2 linked regions of the Caenorhabditis elegans genome follow. The protein of the gene in region 1 purifies or fractionates together with the protein of each later gene. This does not show direct contact. Each region holds a gene or a part of one and is shown on either strand. Other genes may lie near its edges.

Region 1 (10,993 bases):
GAAAAATTTGGAAAAAAACAATTTTTCTGAAAAAAGGTATATTTTCCGAACTCTGCCACGCACGTAACAAAACACTGATTTTTTAAAAATTTCAGTCTCTTCTCAATTTCTTCTCCCACGAATACGTCCCTCGAATTCTGGAGCACGTAAAAACTGAGAAGGACCTCTGGTACACACTTCGCCTCGTCATGCCATACCTCCGTCGCTACTATGAAAATTGGGACACTGCCAAGCAAATGAGATCACAACGCGAAAATTTCGGACCTCTTCACATTGTGAAGCTTGTCTTCCAAAAGTTGGGATCAATGGCCGAAGAAGGTGTTGAAATTGTGTACGAGCAGCACCTGTGTGATTTGTTCTACAATTGCAAATATTTCTTCGCCGGAGACTTTTTGAGGAATACGGCGATCACTGAATTCGCAAAGCTTCCCGAAAAAATGAGAGATCGTCTCAAGTTCTATGTGTCTCAATCAGAACCAACTGCAGAGCAGGAAACACCACCGGAAAAGGAAAAATCACCGGAAAAAGAGAAGGAGCAGGAACAAGAGCAACATGTCAAAGTAATACTCGTTTTAATTCTGTCATTTTTTTTTTCTGAAAGTTTACAGTTTTTTTAGTCTTGAAGCAAGACCATAACTATTAGTAGTGATTTCAAGTGTATTTAAAATCGAGTGTAACCAGGTAATTTCTAATAATGAATTTATCAATAAGTATTGATGTAGTTATTATGGAAAAAATGTATCACAAGAAAATAATAACTATTGAGCAAAATTTTCAAAATTGGCTACCGGATAACTTCAAATTAGCCGTACTGCCAAAAAGTCGGCTAATTCGGTTAATTGGTAAAAAACCGCGGCTAACGGATAAATCACCTAATATTAGCCGAATCAGCCATTCCGCGAATTCGGCTAAATCGGCTAATATCCGCACACTTCTGGTCAATACACTCGATTTTGGGTCAAAAATCACTATTTCTCAAATCAAATTTCTAGGCTCACCAACCTCTCGAATCAACACCTTCCGTTTCCTCACTACCGCAAATGCAACATCATCTACAACAAGCACCACTACTACCATCACATCAAATGATGCCTCCACCACAACAACATTCATCCTCACTTCAACATCATCTACAACATCATACATCTACACATCAAATGATGGATACATCACAACATCAGACAATTCAACAACAATCAAATCATCCTACTCAACAACAACTTCAACATCAAATTCCGAATATGTCGATGCATCAACAAATGGGACCTCAATATCCTGGTGCAGTTTTTCATCATCCATCTGGACCTGTGGGACATGTCCCAATGCAATATGGAATGGGACATCATATGCAACAGCACCCACATCTTCCACATCATCAGCAAATGCCGGCACCTATGCATACAATGAATCCTATGGTAAACATTTGGAAAATTTCGAAAAAAATAATTTTTAAAATCACTTGATAGATTCAAAATTTTTTCGAAAATTCCAAAAATAAAAAAAAGGTTCTAAACATTCCCAAAAGTTTTGAGAACTTCAAAATTTTCGAAATTTCCAACAAAAACAAATTGAAAGTTTTCTCCAACTTTTAGAAATTCCCAAAAAAAAATTCCAATCTTACAGAACATCTGAAAAATCTGAAATTCCATAAGCTTTAAAAAACCAAATTTTCAAAAGTTTCGGTAAATTTCTTTTTCTACCCCGCATTTTTAAAAGAATATTCAATAAAATTGAATTTTTCGAATTTAAATCGATTTTTTCCAAAAAAAAAATCAAAGAATTCCAAAAAAAAATCCAAAATTTCCTGAAAATTAAAAAAAGGTTTTCAATTTTGTCCGAAAAAAAATCAAAGAATTCCAAAAAAAATTCCAAAATTTCCTAAACATTAAAAAAAAATGGTTTTCAATTTTTTTTCCGAAAAAAAATCAAAGAATTCCAAAAAAAAAGCTAAATTTCCTAAAACTTCAAAAAAGGGGTTTCGATGTATTTTGCAAAAATAAAACACAATTTCCGAAAAAAAAATTTTTTCCAAAAATCCTCGAATTCCAAAAAAAATTTCCAGATGCAAAACATGACTCCTCAACAGCAATATCTCTACATGCAACAACTTCAACAACATCAGCAACATCAACAGTACATGCAACAGCAACAACAGCATCACCATCAACACCAACAGCAACCTCATTAATTTTTTTTCATAATTTACCTAGTTTTTTACAATTTACCATCATATATTTGAAAAATCTCACTGATTACGGTTATGTACATATATTTATTATTGTTTATAGTTTTTTACTTCAAAATTTTCATAAAATTTTATTTTTCTTATTCTTTTTCAATCTTTTTTTCAATTTAAAGATTAAAAATCTTTCAATATCTCGACCCCTAACACTGTACAATGTCGATTTACGCAGCTCGTGTACTCCCCGAGGATAAGTGAAAAATCAATGGTTTTGGTCAAAATTGCATGTTTTGCTTAAATTTTGGATTTTGGCTTCTTTTTTAAATTCAAACAAATTTGTCGATTGGCCGATATGCCGGAATCTTTCAATTACGGCAATTTGCCGATTTGCCGGGAATTTCCATTTTCATGCAAAATAATTGCTGATTTAATAATATATGGCGCCCACGCCTGGAAACAGCGACGGTTTTTTGAAAAAGAGATATAATTGCGATTTGAACATTAAATTCGGAAAGAATCGGATCATAATCTTCTCCTCGTGGAGTACACGACTTCCGTAAATCGACAATCTTCAATTTTAAAATTCAATTAATTTTGTTAAGATTGAAACTATTTTCAGTAACAAAAGTTTCCTTCAATGCTCCTATGCCCTCCAACAAGGTGATTTGTTCTGATCTTTACGATTGTGATTGGTAAACAATAAAATAACTGAAAAAAGATTTAAATATGCCTATTTTATTCCAGGTATTGGGGAGATTTGGACTGGAAATGGGCAGAACGGCTGCTCCTTTTGTGCCCAATCGGATATTTTTTAATTCGAGACAGTCGAAGTGAAACTCATCTTTTCACTGTTTCTTATCATTTTCAAGGTATTGTTTTTCAAAAAATCAATTTTTTCCAAATAAATATAATTTCAGATAGAGTCTATCATTCGCGCTTGTCACTTGAAGATTCACGACGGAATTTGGGTAGTCGGCAGCCATACGTCTCACGTGACTATTGGAATCTTGTGGAAATTATTGAGAGAAGTTTAGAGGTATGTAGTACATTTAAAAATATCTATGATTTTTGATTTTAAAAAAATCGGAAAAGAGTAAAACTTTAAAAAAAAATTGTGACAGGCCAAAAAGGTCGAAAATATTTTTCGAAGAGTTAAAAAAAATCGAAATTTTCCCAAAATGTTTCCGGAAATCGAAAATATATTTTTTTAAAAGCAAATTATTTTTCCGAAAAACGGAAAAAAACTATTTTTTTTAAGTGAAAATAATTATTTTTCTTTTTAAAAAATTCGAAAACTAAAAAAATTCAAATTTTCCGAAAGTATGTCCTTTTTTTCTCAAAATTAGAAATTAAAAAAGAGTATTAATCAAAAAAAAATTTTTCGGAACATAATTTTAAAAATTAAAATTGAAAAACAAATCAAACACAATACAACCATTTTTTTTCATAAAATCGAGAAAAAATCCTTTTTTTTTCGAAAAACCAAAAAAAAATCACGAGAAAAATAATCGATTGTTCTAAAAAAAATTCACTTTTTTGCAGAAAAAAATTAAAAAATCACCATTTTTGTTCACAAAAAAAACCACATTCCCGAAAGAAAATAGTTCAGTTTTTTCAGAAATTAGTTTTTTTTTCAAAAATCCGAAAAAAACTGAGTTTTTCAAGCAAAAAAATAATTTAATGTTTCAAAAATCAAAAAAAATCGTAGTTTTTCGGAAAAAAACACTAAACTTTTTTCAGCAATCCCTAACAGGACAACAAGAAATGCTCCACTATCGACGTGGACATGAAGCCGAAGCAGCGCGTGTCAATTTAACACGTCCACTCACAAAACGAGAGCTTCTACCATCACTACAGTACCTCTGTCGATTTACCCTGAAAACGAGTCAACAAAAACCACCGACACCCAAAACAGCTCCTCTGCCACCAACGATTTTAAAGTATTTGAGTGATTCGAAATGGATTATTCCTGATTTGAAGAAATGTGAAGAGCAATTGAAATTAAGATTTTGTGTAATTAATAATTAATTGTTTTAGTTTTGAATTATATCGAATTACGGGGTTTTTTTTGAATGCTTAATAAATAACTTTTTTCTCTCAAATTTAAGTTATATATTCATAAAATCTCGGTTTCTTTCCAGAAAAATTGTCACGGATCCTGTTTTTTATTAAATTTTCAAACATTTTTTTAAGATCGTGAAAATTTTGAAATTAAAAAAAAGAACCTTTCGAGTAATCAAATTTTTTTTTAATTGGAAAAGAATAATTTTTTCAGGCATTTAGAAAATGTCGACAATCTTCGCCCTATCGTCTGGCACATTGCCAAGCGCAATTGCGATGTTCCGCGTTTCAGGTTAATTTTCAGAACAATTGAAAAAAAAAATTCCATTAGGTTACGAATGGTTCATTTTGAAAAAATTTCTGCCAAAATAGCCATAAACAATATAAAAATCTCTGAAAAAATTCGTACGATGCTCTTGCGAAACCCCCCCCCCCCCCAAAAAAAGGCTTTCTGAGCTTACTGTTCACAGTATTCACAGTATTTTTTCCAGGATCACAAAGCCTCCCCGTACTCCGCCAGCTGAGCCGTCGAAAAGTTTGGAAGCCGAAAACGATGAAATACACGAAATTGTACGATTCAGAGAGCAAAATCATCGATGAAGCAATGGCGGTATATCTTCCCGGCCCGAAAACGTTTACCGGAGAAGACACAGCCGAGTTTTTTCTACATGGAAGTCAGGCCGTGGCCGTGAAGTTTGCCTCATGTTTGGCTGGAATTCAAAATGTTCGAGAAGCGAAGCGAGGAGAATTCACGAGGAGGTTATTATTAGCATACGATTTTCAAAAATCGGGGTTCAAACCAGGGATGGGCAGCAATTGCCGTTCGGCAAATTTTTTTCGACAAATTCGGCGATTCCGGCAATTTGCCGATTTGCCGGAAATTTCAATTCCGACAATTTGCTGATTTGCCGATTTGCCAATTTGCCGGAAAAATTGTTTGCCGTCCACCCCTGGTTAAAACGCGCTCCACGGCTAAAAGTTGGGTCTCGCTAGGTTTTGGCTGCTGCAAAACCGTAATTTCGAACGTTTTCAATAAGTTTTCGTTATTTTTGTTATGTTTCCTGTCGTTTATTAATTAATTTTATGTTGAAAAAATGTCCAAAAGTGCTTTAATTTTTCATTTAACCATGAAAACAAAATAACATTAGAGTTTTTGGTTTTGCCGCCGAATAAAAATTCCAAACTTTCCGCAGTTGAGCGCGCTTGCACATCTGTTTCAAAATATTTTGAATGCATTTAAATGCACATTTTGGGTCTCTATAATAACTCTTAGTTAATTTACAGAGCATTTCACAACGGAAAATTGAGCATTTCCGAGGTTCGAGGAATCGATCGGCTAATTAAATCTCGAACCGAAAAAGAACGAAATGCGGCATTTGGTCAAATGCGTGGTGGAGTTCGAGCTATTGAAATAAGGTATTGAAGTGAGAAAAATTGGAATTTTATATTGTTCGCAAGCAATTTGAAAAAACAAAAAAATCCCTCGAGATTTGGAATTTTTGGAAAAAAAAACTTAAAAAAAAAAGGAAAAAAAAAGATTTATAGGGATTTTTAAAAATTTCATTAAAACTTATGATATCGTACGAGCTTTTCAATAATACATTTTTTCAAATTGCCGGAATAGAAATGTCCGGCAAATCGACAATTTGTCGGTATTGAAAACTTCCGGCGAATCAGAAAATTGCTGGAATTGAAATTTCCGGCAAATCGGCAAATTGCTGGAATTGAAATTTCCGGCAAATCGGCAAATTGCTGGAATTGAAATTTCCGGCAAATCGGCAAATTGCTGGAATTGAAATTTCCGGCAAATCGGCAAATTGCTGGAATTGAAATTTCCGGCAAATCGGCAAATTGCTGGAATTGAAATTTCCGGCAAATCGGCAAATTGCTGGAATTGAAATTTCCGGCAAATCGGCAAATTGCTGGAATTGAAATTTCCGACAAATCGGCAAATTGCTGGAATTGAAATTTCCGGCAAATCGGCAAATTGCTGGAATTGAAATTTCCGGCAAATCGGCAAATTGCTGGAATTGAAATTTCCGGCAAATCGGCAAATTGCTGGAATTGAAATTTCCGGCAAATCGGCAAATTGCTGGAATTGAAATTTCCGGCAAATCGGCAAATTGCTGGAATTGAAATTTCCGGCAAATCGGCAAATTGCTGGAATTGAAATTTCCGGCAAATCGGCAAATTGCTGGAATTGAAATTTCCGGCAAATCGGCAAATTGCTGGAATTGAAATTTCCGGCAAATCGACAAATTTCTGGAATGGAAATTTCCGGGAAATCGGCAACTTGCCGGAATTGAAATTACCGATAAATCGACAATTTGCCGGAATTGGAAATTTCCGGCAAATCGGAAAATTGCCGGAATTGAAATTTTCGGCAAACCGGCAATTTGCCAATTTGCTGAATTTGTCGACAAAAACTTCGTGCCGCATACCCCTGACATTTACTCTCAATTTCAGGAAGCAATTAATTCAAATTCTATCGAAACTATTTGTGATCATTGATTTTGGAGAACACGTGAACTTGGAATTACGCGAAGCTCAACAAGATGTCTCTGAAATTCTTCATGAACTCAATCGAATGATCAAAGCGTGGGATGGTGCAGAACGGGCTCAACGTGGATTGGATATTGTGCTCTATGGAAGACCGAATTCCGGAAAATCAAGCATTTTAAATCAGTTAGCGCATGATGACGTGGCAATTGTTAGCTCGATTCCTGGAACCACGAGAGATAGTTTGGAAGTAAAAATGATCATATAAACCTATTGAAGTGTTAAAATTTTTCAAATTTTTCAAAAATTAACCAAAAAATTTCAATCAAATTTTCTTTTGCGATTTTTTTTTCTGAAACTAAAATCAGTTTTTCCAAAACTACAGTAATCCTACAGTATTCCCTACAATACTACTACAGTACTCCAATCATATCCCCCTATTAACACCAAACTAATAACCCTTCAAAATACGAAAAACCAGTTTTTCTCCAACTACAGTAACCCTACAGTAATCCTACAGTATTCCCTACAGTACTACTACAGTACCCTAGCCACGTTCCCTTGAACAATCAATTTTGAAACTCCTCTAAAACACACAATTTTGAAATTTAAAAAGTGGCAAAAATTCCAATTTTTTGTAAAAATTCACAATTTTGAAACTCTTCTAAAATGGGCAATTTTGTAGCTAGAGGACTCAAAATTGATCTGCAAACATTAAAAAAATTTTCCTTTTTAAGAATATAATAGTTTTGAACATTTTTAGGGAAATTATTTTTTTGCCCAAAATAAAAAAAGGATAGTCATTAGATGGCTGAAAATAGTTTGGGCAAAAATAAAAAGTTGTCTAAATTTGTTGAAAACGGGTAATTTATGTATGTTGAATTCAGAAAATCTAGGTTTAACCCGTCAAAAACTTTTAAAAAGTGGCAAAAATGGCAGATTTATGGCAAAAATTCACAATTTTGAATCTTCTCTAAAATGGGCAATTTTGTAGCTAGAGGACTCAAAATTGATTTAGGATTATAAAAAAATTGACCTTTTTCAGAATATAGTAGTTTTAAACATTTTCAGAAAAATTATTTTTTTGCCCAAAATAAAAAAAAAGGACAGTCATTAGATGGCTGAAAATAATTTGGGCAAAAATAAAAAGTTGTCTAAATTTGTTGAAAACGGGTAATTTATGTATGTTGAATTCAGAAAATCTAGGTTTAACCCGTCAAAAACTATTAAAAAGTGGCAAAAATGGCCAATTTATAGCAAAAATTCACAATTTTGAATCTTCTCTAAAACGGGCAATTTTGTAGCTCAAAAGACGAAAAGTCAATTTTTCGAAAACTACGGTAATCCTACAGTACTCCTAGAGTGCCTGGAAAATGTTCCAAACATTAATTGAAAATCTTACAGACAATCATTCAAATTAACGGAGTTCGATGCCGTCTCACAGACACTGCTGGAGTTCGACAAAAAACTAATGACGTCATTGAGGCAGAAGGTATTCGACGTGCTCAAAAACGAATCCAATCAGCTGACATTATCTGCGTTGTCGTGGATCCACAATTCACGTCGGATGACGATGTTGAATCGATTTTGAATGACGTGGAAGTGATGCGAAATCGCGAAGCTCGTGTGATTATTGCAAAGAATAAGTCTGATCTGAGTCTGAAGTATCCAAAACTTCCCTCAAATTTCACTACTGTATCTACAAATGCTACCACAGATACTGGCTGCAAACAACTTCAAAACTGTTTGGGAGAAATTGTAGATGATCTGTGTCCTGAAGCAAGTTATTTACTAGATGCAGATCTGTTAAGGTTTTTTTTTGTCAAAAAATAATATTCAAAGTTGTTTTAATTTCAGAAGATGCTCATTCGAATTGGAGTCAGCTGTAACGTGTAACGACGCAGCAATCATGTGTTCACATCTGGAAGTTGCCTTGGAACAAATCGGAGAGCTCACCGAGGGAATTGTCACTGAAAGTGTTCTAGATGGAATTTTTAGCAAATTTTGTATCGGAAAATAAAAGCTTTGACCATTTTTGGCACTTTTAAATAGTTTTTTTTTGGGTTAAACCTAGATTTTCTGAATTCAGCGTGTATGAATTACCCGTTTTCACCTTTTGATTTTTGCCCAATTTTTTTTCAGCCATCTAATGACTGTCCTTTTTTTATTTTGGGCAAAAAAAAAAGTTTTCTGAAAATGTTCAAAGCCACTATATTCTGATAATGGACAATTTTTTAGTCTTTATAGATCAATTTAGAGTCATCTAACTTCAAAATTGCCCATTTTAGATGTGTTTCAAAGTTGTGAATTTTTGCCATAAATTGCCCATTTTTGCCATTTTTTAATAGTTTTTGATGGGTTATACCTAGATTTTCTGAAAATTTTTTTTCGGCCATCTAATGACTGTCCTTTTTCTTTTATTTTGGGCAAAAAAATAATTTTTCTCAAAGTGTGCAAAACCACTATATTCTGAAAAAAGGCAATTTTTTATTGTTTGGAGATAAATTTTGAGTCGCCTAGCTATAAAATTAACCATTTTAGAAGAGTTTCAACATTTTGGTTTCGCCCTTTTTTTGTGGTCAAAAAAAATTTATGTTCTGAAGTTGTTCAAAATCACTAATAAGTGAAAAAGAAAAAAAGTCGTTTTTTAATTCAAAAACTACAACGGTAGAAGTCTCCTTAAGAACTCTTTTCTCTCTCTCTCTCTTCTTGTCTCTTTTCCAGTGCCTAATTATATTATGGGAAAGCAGACACTCATATCTCATTTGACTCCCGATTTCTGTCAAAACGTCTCATTTTGCACAAGTATCATCTATTTTCTGTAAAAGGTTTTGTTTCTGTGAAAAGTATGTGTGTGTGAAAAAGAAATTGGGATCGTATATAGTATTATAGTATTGTTTGTTCTCCGTCCTTTTGTCTCATGACTCATTGATCAAATCTAGAAATCGGGAAAATTCCCACAAATCAGTGAAAGCCATTCAGTTTTAGAATGTGTTTTGGGATACTAACAATAGTCCATCAAGGTAGTTATGTAAAATAATACTTATCAGATAATGCAAACAACATAATGACCAACGTTTTGTTAGTTGACCGTTTTCGAAAAAAATGTTCAGTTTTGAGTTATGCTTAATTAAACACCACCCGATATTCATGAAAAAACCGTTTGTACATACCTTTATGGCCAGCACTGTAGTTGGATTCAAATTCAGCTAGAGACGAAGACAAGTATTACTTTTCAAAATCCAATGTGCTGACTTGTGACCCATATATTGGCGTATACCGTGTATATCGGATCCATAATGTTGATTTTAAAGACCATATTCATCCACAGAACCCATTTAAAGATATAAGTATGGGGTTAGTCAACTGAGGTCCTCATTACATTAAGTCGTTACAAAAGATTTATTTTGTTCTGAATGTGTGTGTGTGTGTATGCGAATGCATTTAGGCTAACTAACACCCCCCTCCCCCCAATCCATCCGAAAATAAATAAAAAAACAAGACACTCATGTGTAATACATGGGAGGGGGGACGCCTTCTATCTTTTCAACGTCTTCTCCTTTTTGAGCAAAGAAGAAGAAGAAGAAGAAGAAGAAGAAGACTTTTCCTTTTTTTGTGAGAAGACGACGCAGACGTTACAAGAGCACAAAGTTTCTCATTGTGTCTGTCACCTCTTCAATCTTTCTAGGGTCCTCTCACGGCCTGGAGCCTCTCCCTTCAGCAGCACACGGGCTATTGCTGCACACACACACAGAGCCGCCGTCGCCGCCGCCAGCAGAGCACACACTCTGAATCGATGAGGCGTCCGACGACGACGACGTCGTCATCGTCGTCATACACTCCATGGTATCATCACATATTTATTATCTTTCTACAGTATTCCTTGTTTCATATATCACCGACATTCGGGGCGCGTAACACCGTTACTGAAGGTGGACAGCCGCTGACCGAGCTCCTCAGCTCGCTAGATCAACCCTACCCATGTGGGCATGTAGTTGAAGCAGAGCACTTTCTGTCAACAGCGGTTGCACTGAAATTTCCTAGGCTTATTCAACTTGCACACTTTTTTGCGAATCATTCAAAAAATTTTGATCCGCAGCTTCTTGACAAATCGTCATTTCAACAAATTCCACCATTCGATGTTTCGTTTGCAAGAAGAACACACTTTTATGGGCTACAGCTCAATTGCACTGGGAATAACCATCGGTGAGCATTTCTAATAGAAGGCACTTTGGTACAGTAACTCGTTGG
Region 2 (10,993 bases), on another chromosome or scaffold:
AAACGGCCTGAAACGGCCTGAAACCGGCCTGAAATTCATACTTGCTCAATTATAGCCAATATGGGTTTTAAATTTTTGCAAATTTAGAGGTTAAGCTAATTTTTAACATCTTTTATGCTGGAAACAAGCGGTATTTGAAATTTGGCCCAAAAAAATTTTTAAAAAAAAGTGTTTTTCTTCAAATTTTCTATAAATTTGATGTTTTGCGTTGTTTTAGTTTTAAAAAAACCAATTTTTCCACTAAATTTCCGTTGTTTTAACACCCATATCGGCTACATTCGGGAGTGGTTAAGTTTCAGGCGGTTTCAGGCCCTTTTTTGGCCCGAAATCAAGTTTTACGAAGATTGAGCTCTAAATGTATACTGTTTATTAAAACTATGGGTCAAAAACAATTGTAAACAAAATCGTAAAAGCTTCGGCCTGAAATGGCCTGAAACGGCCTGAAACGGCCTGAGCCCGGCCTGAAATCCAAACTTCCTCAAATATAGCCATTATGGGTGTCAAAATTTTGCAAATTTTTAGGAGAATCCAAATTTTCCACTCAAAACTATCGTAGTCTAACAGATTTCAGAAAATCAAAAAATTTTCCAAAAAAAAAAAATTTTTTTTGCAGTTTACGATAGCAAAATGGGCAGTGTAAAGACTGGATCAGACGGAACATTCCGCGTATCCGGAGATCAAAATAAAATCCGAACAATCGACCCGAAAGTCAACATTTACCACAAGTGCAATTATAACGGGGTGAGTTTTTTATTTCAAAAAAAAAATTCGATTTCAAACTCAAATTTTTCCAGCTCTGCTCGAAAAAAGTGTCCATCAACATTCCAAAAAACGCTGTCGTCAGCGGAAGCGGACAAAATGCTAGAAATTATGACATTGGAACTATCAACTTGGCTAACAAGTTCTCTGGAGAATCTACTGATTGTATTCATTAAAAATTTGGCTTTAATATGTATAAAAAATGCAAACAAATTTGTATATTTTGAAAATTGTTTTATTTTGAACGGTTAGAATATTTTTTCCAAAACAAAAAAATTTTTTTCAAGTTTCAAATTTTTTAAATTTTGAGATTTCAAGCATTTTTGGAAAATTTTGTACATGGCAAGATTTTTCATATCATTTTCATGGATTTGACATTTACTTCGGCTACATTTCAAGAAACTGGGCTTGTCGAAATGATTTGGACCGATTCGGGCCGTTTCAGGCCGTTTCAGGCATGAATTTCCAGTTTTTCTGGAACTGCGTTCTTACTTTCAGGTTTTCCTCATTACTGCATAATTTCTACACTTACCTTGACCTAAATTCGTGGTGCTCATATTTCAAGTCTAGAACGGCCTGAAATGACCTGAAATAGGCCTGAAATTCAACATTTCATTGTTATGCAAGTTAAATCAAAAGCCTGAAAATTATCTTGAAGTTTTAAGTGAAGGAAATCTGTTTTTCAATAAATTTTGAGTTTCGGGCCAGTTTCAGGCCGTTTTGGGCCGTTTTTTGGCCCAAACGTCCAAATGTTCAGAGTATAATCAATATGGGTGTTAAAATTTTGCACATTTTATGGAGAACACGAATTTTACATTTTTATTGTTCAAAATGTCCCCTGGTGTCCCCGAATGTCCCATAGGTGTCCCATAAGTGTCCCTCTCGTGGTTTTAGGCTATATTTGTCGGAATTTGCTCATTTTTTTTACAGAAACACTTTAAAAAGTGTAATTAAACGTTTATTTTATGAAAAATTCCAATTAAAACATAAAAGTTATCAAAAAGTTCCAAAAAAAAAGTTTAATGAATGCAATCAGTACCCTCTCCTGGGTACTTATTGGCCAAATTCAGAACTCCAATGTCAAAAAGTTGAGCTTCTTTGGATCCTTTGCCAACTGCGTTCTTCGGAACATGAATGGTAACCCTTTTCGGGCAAAGCTGAAATTTTTGAGAATTTTTTCAGTAAAATTTTTGAAAAAAAGTCGAAATTTTTCGCTGAAACTCACTCCGACGTGGTTGCATCTGTGATAAATATTGATTTTTGGGTCGATCTTGCGAATTTTATTCTGGCCGCCGACTACTTTGAAGGTTCCGTCTGCCAATGTGTTTGTAACGTCCATCTTGGTGTCATAGACTGCAATTTGGGGCATTTTGCTTCCAAAAATGATCAGATCGCTAGGATTTTACAAAATTCAAACTCGTGGCGTCAATAGCTTCAATTTGACACCCATATTGTCTATATTCCGGCAATTTTGAAGATTTTGGTTAAACCGCGACGCGACCGCAACGCACGGTGATTTTTTGCTTCAAAATGTTGAATAAACTAATGTTTATTTGAGATTTCTAAGTTTGTATTAGTGATACTGAAATTTTTATGTCTTCAAACGTGCACAGTCCTCAGTGATACGCTTGTTTGCAAATTTGAGCGGCCGCGACGCGGCCGCGACGCATGGCTAAAATCAAATGTCTTTAAATATATACAATATGGGTGTTAAATGAGAGCTATAAACTACAAATTAAGGAAATACACGCGTTTGATTTCCAGAAACTGATTGTTTCGTTGCTACGACTGCTTCTGAACTTGAGCGACCGCGACGCGACCGCACCGCACTCAAAAAACTAAAGTTGTCTGATCATAGGCAAAATGGGGGTCAAACAAAAGCTAAGAACGTCAAAAATTCAAAAATCGTATTTTCAACCTTTAAAAGCGAACTATTCTAATGTTACGGTTAGAAACCGCGACGCGACCGCACCGCACTCAAAATACCAAAGTTGTCAGATTATAGGCAATATGGGGGTCAAATGAAAGCTAAGAACGTCAGAATTTCAAAAATACACAAATTAAAACATAAAACTGGAAAAAAAAATGGCTCACCAGTTCCATCCTCATACAGCTTGATCTTCACATCCTTCACAGCTTGGCCGTTGCAAGTGAGCTTACCAACTACAGTAACCGTCTGCTTTCTACCAACAATTCCGCCGAGCCCGTGAGCCACGGCTAAAGTCGCAAGGAAGAGCAGACAAAGTTTGAGCATCGTTTGAGCAGATTCTCAGGAAGTTTCCGTGAGTTTTGCTCCCGGTTTTTATGGGATTTTCGGGTGACAAACATGTTTTTCTGGTCCCCAGCGGCATGTTTACACTAAACAACAACTGTTCCGTTAGATAATCACCTAATCGCCGACTTTTATCCGTTTCTCATCTCGTCTGATTTCCCTGATTTCTTATCATTTTCCTGGATTTCTTATCGATTCCCGGTCGACTCCTGAGCAATGTTCAAAGAAATTCTGCTCATTTCCACTGTTTTTCTGCTCACTGATGCCTTGGGAGGTATTGTTGGGAGTAAACAGACGGTCACTGTGGTCGGCAAACTGGTCTGTAACGGAGCACCGGCTAGAGACGTCCGTGTGAAGCTTTTCGAGGATGGAACTAGTAAGTTGAAAGTTTCAAATTCGATTTTTTCAAGTTGAAAATGTCTCACCACGCTGTTAGCTTCAATTTGGCACTCATATTGCCTGTATTTGGACAATTTTTGGTTTTAGGGCACGGCGCGGTTGCGTCGCGGTTTCTAATAGTCACTATTTACCGTAAAATTAGAGCAGTTCGTTTTTAAGGATCAAAATTACGATTTTTGTATTTCTGACGTTCTTAGCTTTTATTTGACCCCCATAACGACTATATTCGGATAACTTTGGTTTTTTGAGTGCGGTGCGGTCGCGTCGCGTGTCAAATGCAAAAATTATTGTAAAGCTCCACAATGGCAAACATTTTTGAACAAAGACGTTGTATTAATCATAACTCAAAAACTTACCGCGTTGAAGCATGAAAAATGCAATTTCAATTTTCGCCGCGTTGCGGTCGCGTCGCGGTCACACACCCCAAAATTCAAATTTGTCCGAACATAGTCAATATGGGTGTCAAAATTCTTGTCTTGACCTGGAAAATCTGAATTTCCTAGTTTTAACAACAAAAATGTTAACTTTGAACATTTTATTTCACAAAAATACAATTTTCTGCAGTCTACGACACGAAAATGGACTCGGTGAAAACAATTGCTGATGGAACATTCAAGGTCTCGGGATCCCAGAATAAAATCCGCAAGATTGACCCGAAAATCAATATTTATCATAAATGCAACTATTCTGGAGTAGGTTTTTGGAGAAAAAAATTGAAAAAATTCGATTTTTTTCCTATTTAAAAAAAATTCAAAAATTTTGAAATTTTCAGCTCTGCCCAAAAAAAGTGACTATTCATGTTCCAAAAAATGCAGTTGGTAAAGGATCCAAAGAAGCTCAACTTTTCGACATCGGAACCCTCAATTTGGCTAACAGATACCCAGGAGAGGGCACTGATTGCATTCATTAAACTTTTTTTGTAATTTTTTGATAATTTTTATGTTTTAATTGGCATTTTTCATAAAATAAACGTTTAATTACAATTTTTAAAGTGTTTCTGTAAAAAAAATGAGCAAATTCTGACAAATATAGCCTAAAACCATGAGAGGGACACTTATGGGACACCTATGGGACATTCGGGGACACCAGGGGACATTTTAAACAATAAAAATGTAAAATTCGTGTTCTTCATAAAATTTGCAAAATTTTAACACCCATATTGATTATACTCTGAACATTTGGACGTTTTGGCCAAAAAACGGCCCAGAACGGCCTGAAACTGGCCCGAAACTCAAAATTTATTGAAAAATAGATTTTCTTCACCTAAAACTTCAAGATAATTTTCAGCCTTTTGATTTAACTTGCATAACAATGAAATGTTGAATTTCAGGCCAATTTCAGGCCATTTCAGGCCGTTCTAGACTTGAAATATGAGCACCACGAATTTAGGTCAAGGTAAGTGTAGAAATTTTGCAGTAATAAGAAAAACCTAAAAGTGAAAACGCAGTTCCAGAAAATCTAGAAATTCAGGCCTGAAACGGCCTGAAACGGCCCGAATCGGTCCAAATCATTTCGACAAGCCCAGTTTCTTGAAATATAGCCGATGTAAATGTCAAATCCATAAAAATGATATAAAAAATATTGCCATGTACATTAAAAAAAAAATTTTTTTTGGAAAAATATTTGAACCGTTCAAAATTAAACCATTTTTCATGTTTTAATTTGCAATATAAACGCTTAACTACATCTATGCAAGTGTTTCTGTAAAAAAAGAGCAACTTCTGACAAATATAGCCTGAAAACCACGAGTGGGACACTTATGGGACACCTATGGGACATTCGGGGACACCCGGTAAAATTTTGAGAAATATGAACTCAAAATTCGTGTTCTTCATGAAATTTGCCTAGTTTTGAAACCCATATTGGCTATGTTCTACAAACTTTGAAATTTTGGGCAAAAAACGGCCCGGAGCCTGAAAATGGCCTGAAATACAAAACTTTCCTTTAAATAACTTTTATTTCACAGTTTCAAATTTTTCAAAAACGTTTGCTGAAATTATCGACATATACCCGTCAATATTTGTTTTCAAGCCTAGAACGGCCTGAACTGTCCTAAAACTGGTCTGAAATTCAATTTTCCGCAAACATAACCAATTTAGTAGTTCCTTATACAAGTTGGCAAATTACTACAAACGCACTGGCATTAAACTGAGTGTATTGATATTTGGGCTCCAAAAAGCCCGAAACGGCCTAAAACTGGTCTGAAATTCAAATTTCCTCGAATATAGCCAATATGGGGGTCAAATAAACGGAAATTTTATGAAGATTCCAAATTTTCATGTAACAAGGCTTGAAAAAAATCAAAATTTTCAATAACTTGCTCATAAATTAATTTTTCAACCCCCTGTCAACACCAAAAATCTATAAAAGAACCCCAACAAATTCGATGTCGAAATGTGCAGAATCACCCCGATCTTTCCAACTTTTTCCCCCGAAAAAGTGGAAAATTTTACGATTTCGGCCATAAAACTCGGAAGCTTAAAAGCCAACCGTAGCCCGAGGCAATCAAAATTTCGCCGCGAAAATGCAAGTTTTCGTGATTTTCCTGGTGGTTCTACCCATTTCAGGGGTAGTTTCCATCAATATTACAGAACCCGAATTTTTTGAAATTAATATCGATCGGGACCATCCGGAGAAGCTCTACAAGGCTTTTGAGGATTTTAAAAAAAAGTGAGTTTTTTTAATAACGAAAACTTGGCCCAAACTTCAAAATTTTGAAAAATCAATTAAAAATTCGGATTCCCCATAGCAAATAACCCCTACGCCTGAGTTTTCAGAATTTTAGTGCAAAATCCCGTCAAATCGGGTGCCGGGTACGCAAACACCAGGCTACAGTAACCCAAAACACCGGATTTGACGACATTTCGCACGAAATTGTTGAAAAATAGGGTGCAGGGGTAATTTTGGGTGGAGAATTCGAATTTTTACATAATTTTTCAAAAAAAAAATGGTTTTGAAGTGTTGAAATTTCGATTTTCAGAAATAATTGAACATTTCTATTAAAATTTTTCAGAAATCTTATTGTTGCCGTTTTAAGCCACTTTTGAGAAAAAAAACATAATTTTTCACAGGTACAACCGAAAATACAAGGACGAGTCGGAGAATCAGCAGAGATTCAATAATTTCGTAAAATCCTACAACAATGTCGATAAGTAAGTGAAAAAAAACATGGCCCAAACTTCAGAATTTTCAAATTTCGAGTCGAAATTCGGATTCTACGTAGCAAATAACCACTAACCCCGTTTTTCAAAAATTTAGCGCAAAATTCCGTCAAATTGGGTGTAAGGTCCACAAACACTAGGCTACAGTAACCAAAAACACCAGATTTGACGCAAAATTGCACTAAAGCGTTGAAAATTTCGGGACAGGGGTAATTTGAGGCGTAGATTTCGAATTTCATAATGAAAATGTTTTAAATTTGAGTTTAAAAATGAAATTTTTGAATAAAAAATTTCGAAAAAAAATTTCAAAAAAATTTTTTTTTTTCGGTTTTTTTTCAATTTTTTTCAGATTAAACGCAAAGTCAAAAGCAGCCGGATATGACACCCAATTTGGCATTAACAAGTTTTCTGACCTATCCACCGCCGAATTCCACGGCCGTTTGTCCAATGTAGTGCCCAGCAACAATACAGGGCTCCCAATGCTCAACTTCGACAAGAAAAAACCGGATTTTCGCGCGGCCGACATGAATAAAACACGCCATAAGCGTAGATCAACACGCTATCCAGACTATTTCGACTTGAGAAACGAGAAAATCAACGGGCGATACATTGTGGGCCCGATCAAGGATCAGGGGCAATGTGCGTGTTGCTGGGGATTCGCGGTCACCGCACTGGTGGAGACTGTGTATGCAGCACATTCTGGAAAGTTTAAGGTAAAAATAAAACAATTATTTGAAAAATTTGAATGAAAACTGTGAAAGTTCGAGGAAAATCGGTGAAAAATTGGCGTGAAAACTCGAATTTTTCGATTTTTTTTTGAAAACAGAAAACATTGCCGTTGGAGCGCATTTACACCCTCTAGCCTGAAATTTAATTCTATTTTTCTGTAAATATATCGTAGATCACATTTTTTGCTATGTTTTCCATTTTGAAAAATGGCAAAGTTACGTTAGTTTCAAGTGTTTAAAGCGAAGTTGAACGAATTTTCAGTAGGTTCTCAGCGGAGTGCGTTTACTGCTTTTACACTAAATTTTATTAGACTTTGACTATTTTAATATTAAACTTTGCAAAAATTGGTATTGTACACGTTTTTTAAATTTGGAAAATCTTGAAAATTGGCCAAATTACGGATGTTTCAAATTTTCTAGTCAAAATACACAGAGTTTTGAGGAGTTCTCATTGGAGCGCATTTACAACCCCTAAACTAACTTTTCTCTTATTTTTTTGTGCATAGTTAATGTAGATCACATGTTTCTCTACTAGTTTCTTTTGGAAAAATAAGAAAATCTTGAAAACTGGCCAAGATACGATTTTTCACAAATTTGGGTCAAAAAATGAGAAATTTTGAAATATTCTTATTGAAACGCATTGGCAAGCCCAAAACTAATTTTTTTTTTCAAATTTTCAATGTATTTAGTGTAGATCACATGTTATTTCACTAGTTTCTTTTTTAAAAATAAGAAAATCTTGAAAATTGACCTATTTACGGATGTTTCAAATTTTCTAGTCAAAATCAACAGAATTTGTAAGAATTCTCATTGGAGCGCATTTACAACCTCAAAACTGACATTTTTTCATGATTGACTACTACAAATATAGCAGATCATATAATTAGGCGCAATTTTCAGTTTGAAACTAAAAAAAATCTTAAAAATTGGCAAAGTTACGGTAGTTTCAAATTTTTCAGTTAAACTTGGCAGAATTTCAGAATTTCACTGAATTTTTGAATTTCTATGTAAATTTTTGAATATTTTCAGTCCCTATCTGACCAAGAGGTTTGTGATTGCGGTACGGAAGGAACACCGGGATGTAAGGGAGGAAGCTTGACCCTCGGAGTCCAGTACGTCAAGAAATATGGGCTTTCTGGAGATGAAGACTATCCTTACGATCAAAATCGGGCTAACCAGGGCAGAAGATGTCGTTTAAGAGAAACTGACAGAATTGTGCCGGCTGTGAGTTGGAAATTTGAAAATTTGAAAAAATTCCAAAAAAAAAAATTTTTTTTTCAAAAATTTTTTTTTCAAAATTTTTACTTTTTTTAGAATCAAATTTTTTAATTTTCTACCAAATTTTGTTCAGAGAGCCTTCAACTTTGCCGTAATCAACCCACGCCGAGCCGAAGAACAAATCATCCAGGTGCTCACCGAGTGGAAGGTCCCAGTAGCTGTCTGTAAGTCGGCGGGACCAACTGGGGGACATGGGACATCCGGGAGTTTTGAAATTATTAAATTCAAAATCTCCTAAAAATTTGCAAAGTTTTGACATCCATATTGGCTATATTTGGAGAAATTTGAAATTTGGGCCTGAAACGGCCTAAAATTGGCCTAAAATCGGCCTGAAACTCAAAATTTTCAGTCTATAGCCCATGTTAGTGTACCAAAAAAAAATTTCAATTAAAAGCCAAGTATTTTGGCTATATTTCAGTAAATTATATTTTAAGACCTGTTTCAGGCCTATTTCGGCCTGAAATCGGCTCAATACTCAAAATTCTTTTGTTTTGGTGTCACAATTTTACCATTCAATTGAAAACTTGAAAATATTTGGAACATTTCATTTCAAGGCCAATTTTACCCTAAACCGGCCTAAAACCGGCCCGAAACTCGAAATTTGCCGATCGAAATCGATGTCGGTGCCAAAATTTTGAAAATTAAATAACCAACTCAAAAGTTTTGCTGAATATGAAGTACTTTCTTTTCAGGCCTGTTTTGGCCTAGAATCGGCCTGAAATTGGCCCAAAACCCAAACTTATCGAAATATAGTCGATATGGGTGTTAAAATTTTGCAAATTTAACGTGTAATTCAAAAATCTAGCTGAAAACCTGCAGAAACTCCAAGTTTTTCGAAAAAACTCGAAATTAAAAAAAAAAATTCCAGATTTCAAAGTCGGCGATCAATTCAAAGAATATAAAGAAGGAGTGATCATTGAGGACGATTGTAGAAGAGCTACTCAATGGCATGCCGGAGCAATTGTGGGTTACGATACCGTTGAGGATAGCCGTGGAAGAAGTCACGACTACTGGATTATCAAGAACTCCTGGGGAGGCGATTGGGCTGAGTCGGGATATGTTCGAGTGGTCAGGGGTAGGGATTGGTGCTCAATTGAGGATCAACCAATGACTGGAGACATCAAAGATCATAAAGATAACTATTACTATTAATTTATTTTTCTCACTTCTTTTTGTTAAAAAAATGAAAAATAATTATTTTTTTCGAAAATTTGTTTCTTCAAATTTCACAAAAACTCTTCAATTTTAAGCTGTTTTACTTAAAAAATTGAATTCTACGCAAAAAATGTGTTGATTTAACACCCATATCGACTATATTCGAAAAACTTGAACTTCAGGCCGTTTCAGGCCATTTCAGGCCATTTCAGGCCCAAAATTTCAAAAAGTTGCTTTGTGCCTTGCTTTTACCAGCAGTTGGTGATCTTCAACGTGGAATCCGATTGAGGAGGCAATTTTGGGAAATAATCAGCTTATTGGCTGAAATTTCTAAAATTTAAACCGAAAACTTGGCCCAAATCTGGGAATTTCGAAAAATTAAGCTCAAATTCGAACTCCGCGTGGTAAATTACCCCCTACCCACAATTTTCAGAATTTTTGTGCAAAATCCCGTCAAATCTGGTGCCAAGTTCGCAAACACCACGCTACAGTAACCCAAAACACCCGATTTGACGACATTTTGCACTAGAGCTCTGAAAATCCGGGTTCAGGGGTAGTTTTTGATGGAGAATTCGAATTTCGACTTGAAAATCTGGAATTTTAAGTTTGAAAGTACTGAAATTTCGGGTTTCGACAATCTGGAACAAAAACTTGGCCCAAACTGGAAAATTTTGCAAACCTGAGCTCAAATTCCGATTCCCCGCGCTAAATAACTCCTAACCCCCGATTTTCAGAATTTTTGGCCAAAATCCCGTCAAATTTGGAGCCAAGTTCGCAAACACCACGCTACAGTAACCCAAAACACCCGATTTGACGACATTTTGCACTAAAATTCTGAAAATTGCGTGCTAGAAGTGATTTTTCGCGTAGAATCTGATTTTGAAGTCAGATTTTCAAAATTTTGAAGTTTGGACCGAGATTTTAGGAAAAATTTAATTTTTTTTTAAAGATTAAGTTTATAAAAACAAATAAATAAATAAAAATACAACAAAAAAACAGCGAGATTCGGGGGAAAAGTCGAAAACTATTCAACTTTGCACAATTTCAGAAATTCAAATTCCAACGGGAAAATTTTCGGGAACAAGTGGGCCGAGTCGGGCAAATGATTTTGAATGATAATTCTAAAGACAGAAGTATTGATTTTATCGATTGATTCTTTTTCGGCGGGCAGGCCCTCGTCAACGTCACCGCGTAGAATTTCCATGTGATATGTGTCGATTGTGGCGGTATTTAGCTGACGG

Evidence for each region.
Region 2: the proteins of mtcu-1 (region 1) and Y51A2D.8 fractionate together in Caenorhabditis elegans (co-fractionation; one large-scale study listed by BioGRID). This does not show direct contact.

Annotation. Positions count from the first base shown.
Region 1 is NC_003279.8:14,768,472-14,779,464, reverse strand, and holds mtcu-1 (TrmE-type G domain-containing protein), read left to right. Parts: upstream 1-4,457; 5' UTR 4,458-4,468; coding exon 4,469-4,535; intron 4,536-4,734; coding exon 4,735-5,002; intron 5,003-5,527; coding exon 5,528-5,659; intron 5,660-6,709; coding exon 6,710-6,992; intron 6,993-8,146; coding exon 8,147-8,553; intron 8,554-8,599; coding exon 8,600-8,762; 3' UTR 8,763-8,776; downstream 8,777-10,993. Other genes in the region: sur-2 (Mediator of RNA polymerase II transcription subunit 23), read left to right, coding at 96-560, 993-1,415, 2,063-2,188; F39B2.5 (SH2 domain-containing protein), read left to right, coding at 2,828-2,874, 2,927-3,051, 3,100-3,218, 3,923-4,210; gpr-158 (G-protein coupled receptors family 3 profile domain-containing protein), read left to right, coding at 10,539-10,948.
Region 2 is NC_003283.11:18,548,808-18,559,800, reverse strand, and holds Y51A2D.8 (Cysteine proteinase), read left to right. Parts: upstream 1-5,950; 5' UTR 5,951-5,954; coding exon 5,955-6,100; intron 6,101-6,501; coding exon 6,502-6,582; intron 6,583-6,940; coding exon 6,941-7,304; intron 7,305-8,348; coding exon 8,349-8,543; intron 8,544-8,670; coding exon 8,671-8,761; intron 8,762-9,465; coding exon 9,466-9,749; 3' UTR 9,750-9,798; downstream 9,799-10,993. Other genes in the region: ttr-26 (Transthyretin-like family protein), read left to right, coding at 614-741, 795-935; ttr-25 (TransThyretin-Related family domain), read right to left, coding at 1,779-1,916, 1,985-2,112, 2,854-3,013; ttr-24 (TransThyretin-Related family domain), read left to right, coding at 3,248-3,407, 3,995-4,122, 4,203-4,340; ints-5 (Integrator complex subunit 5), read right to left, coding at 10,777-10,993.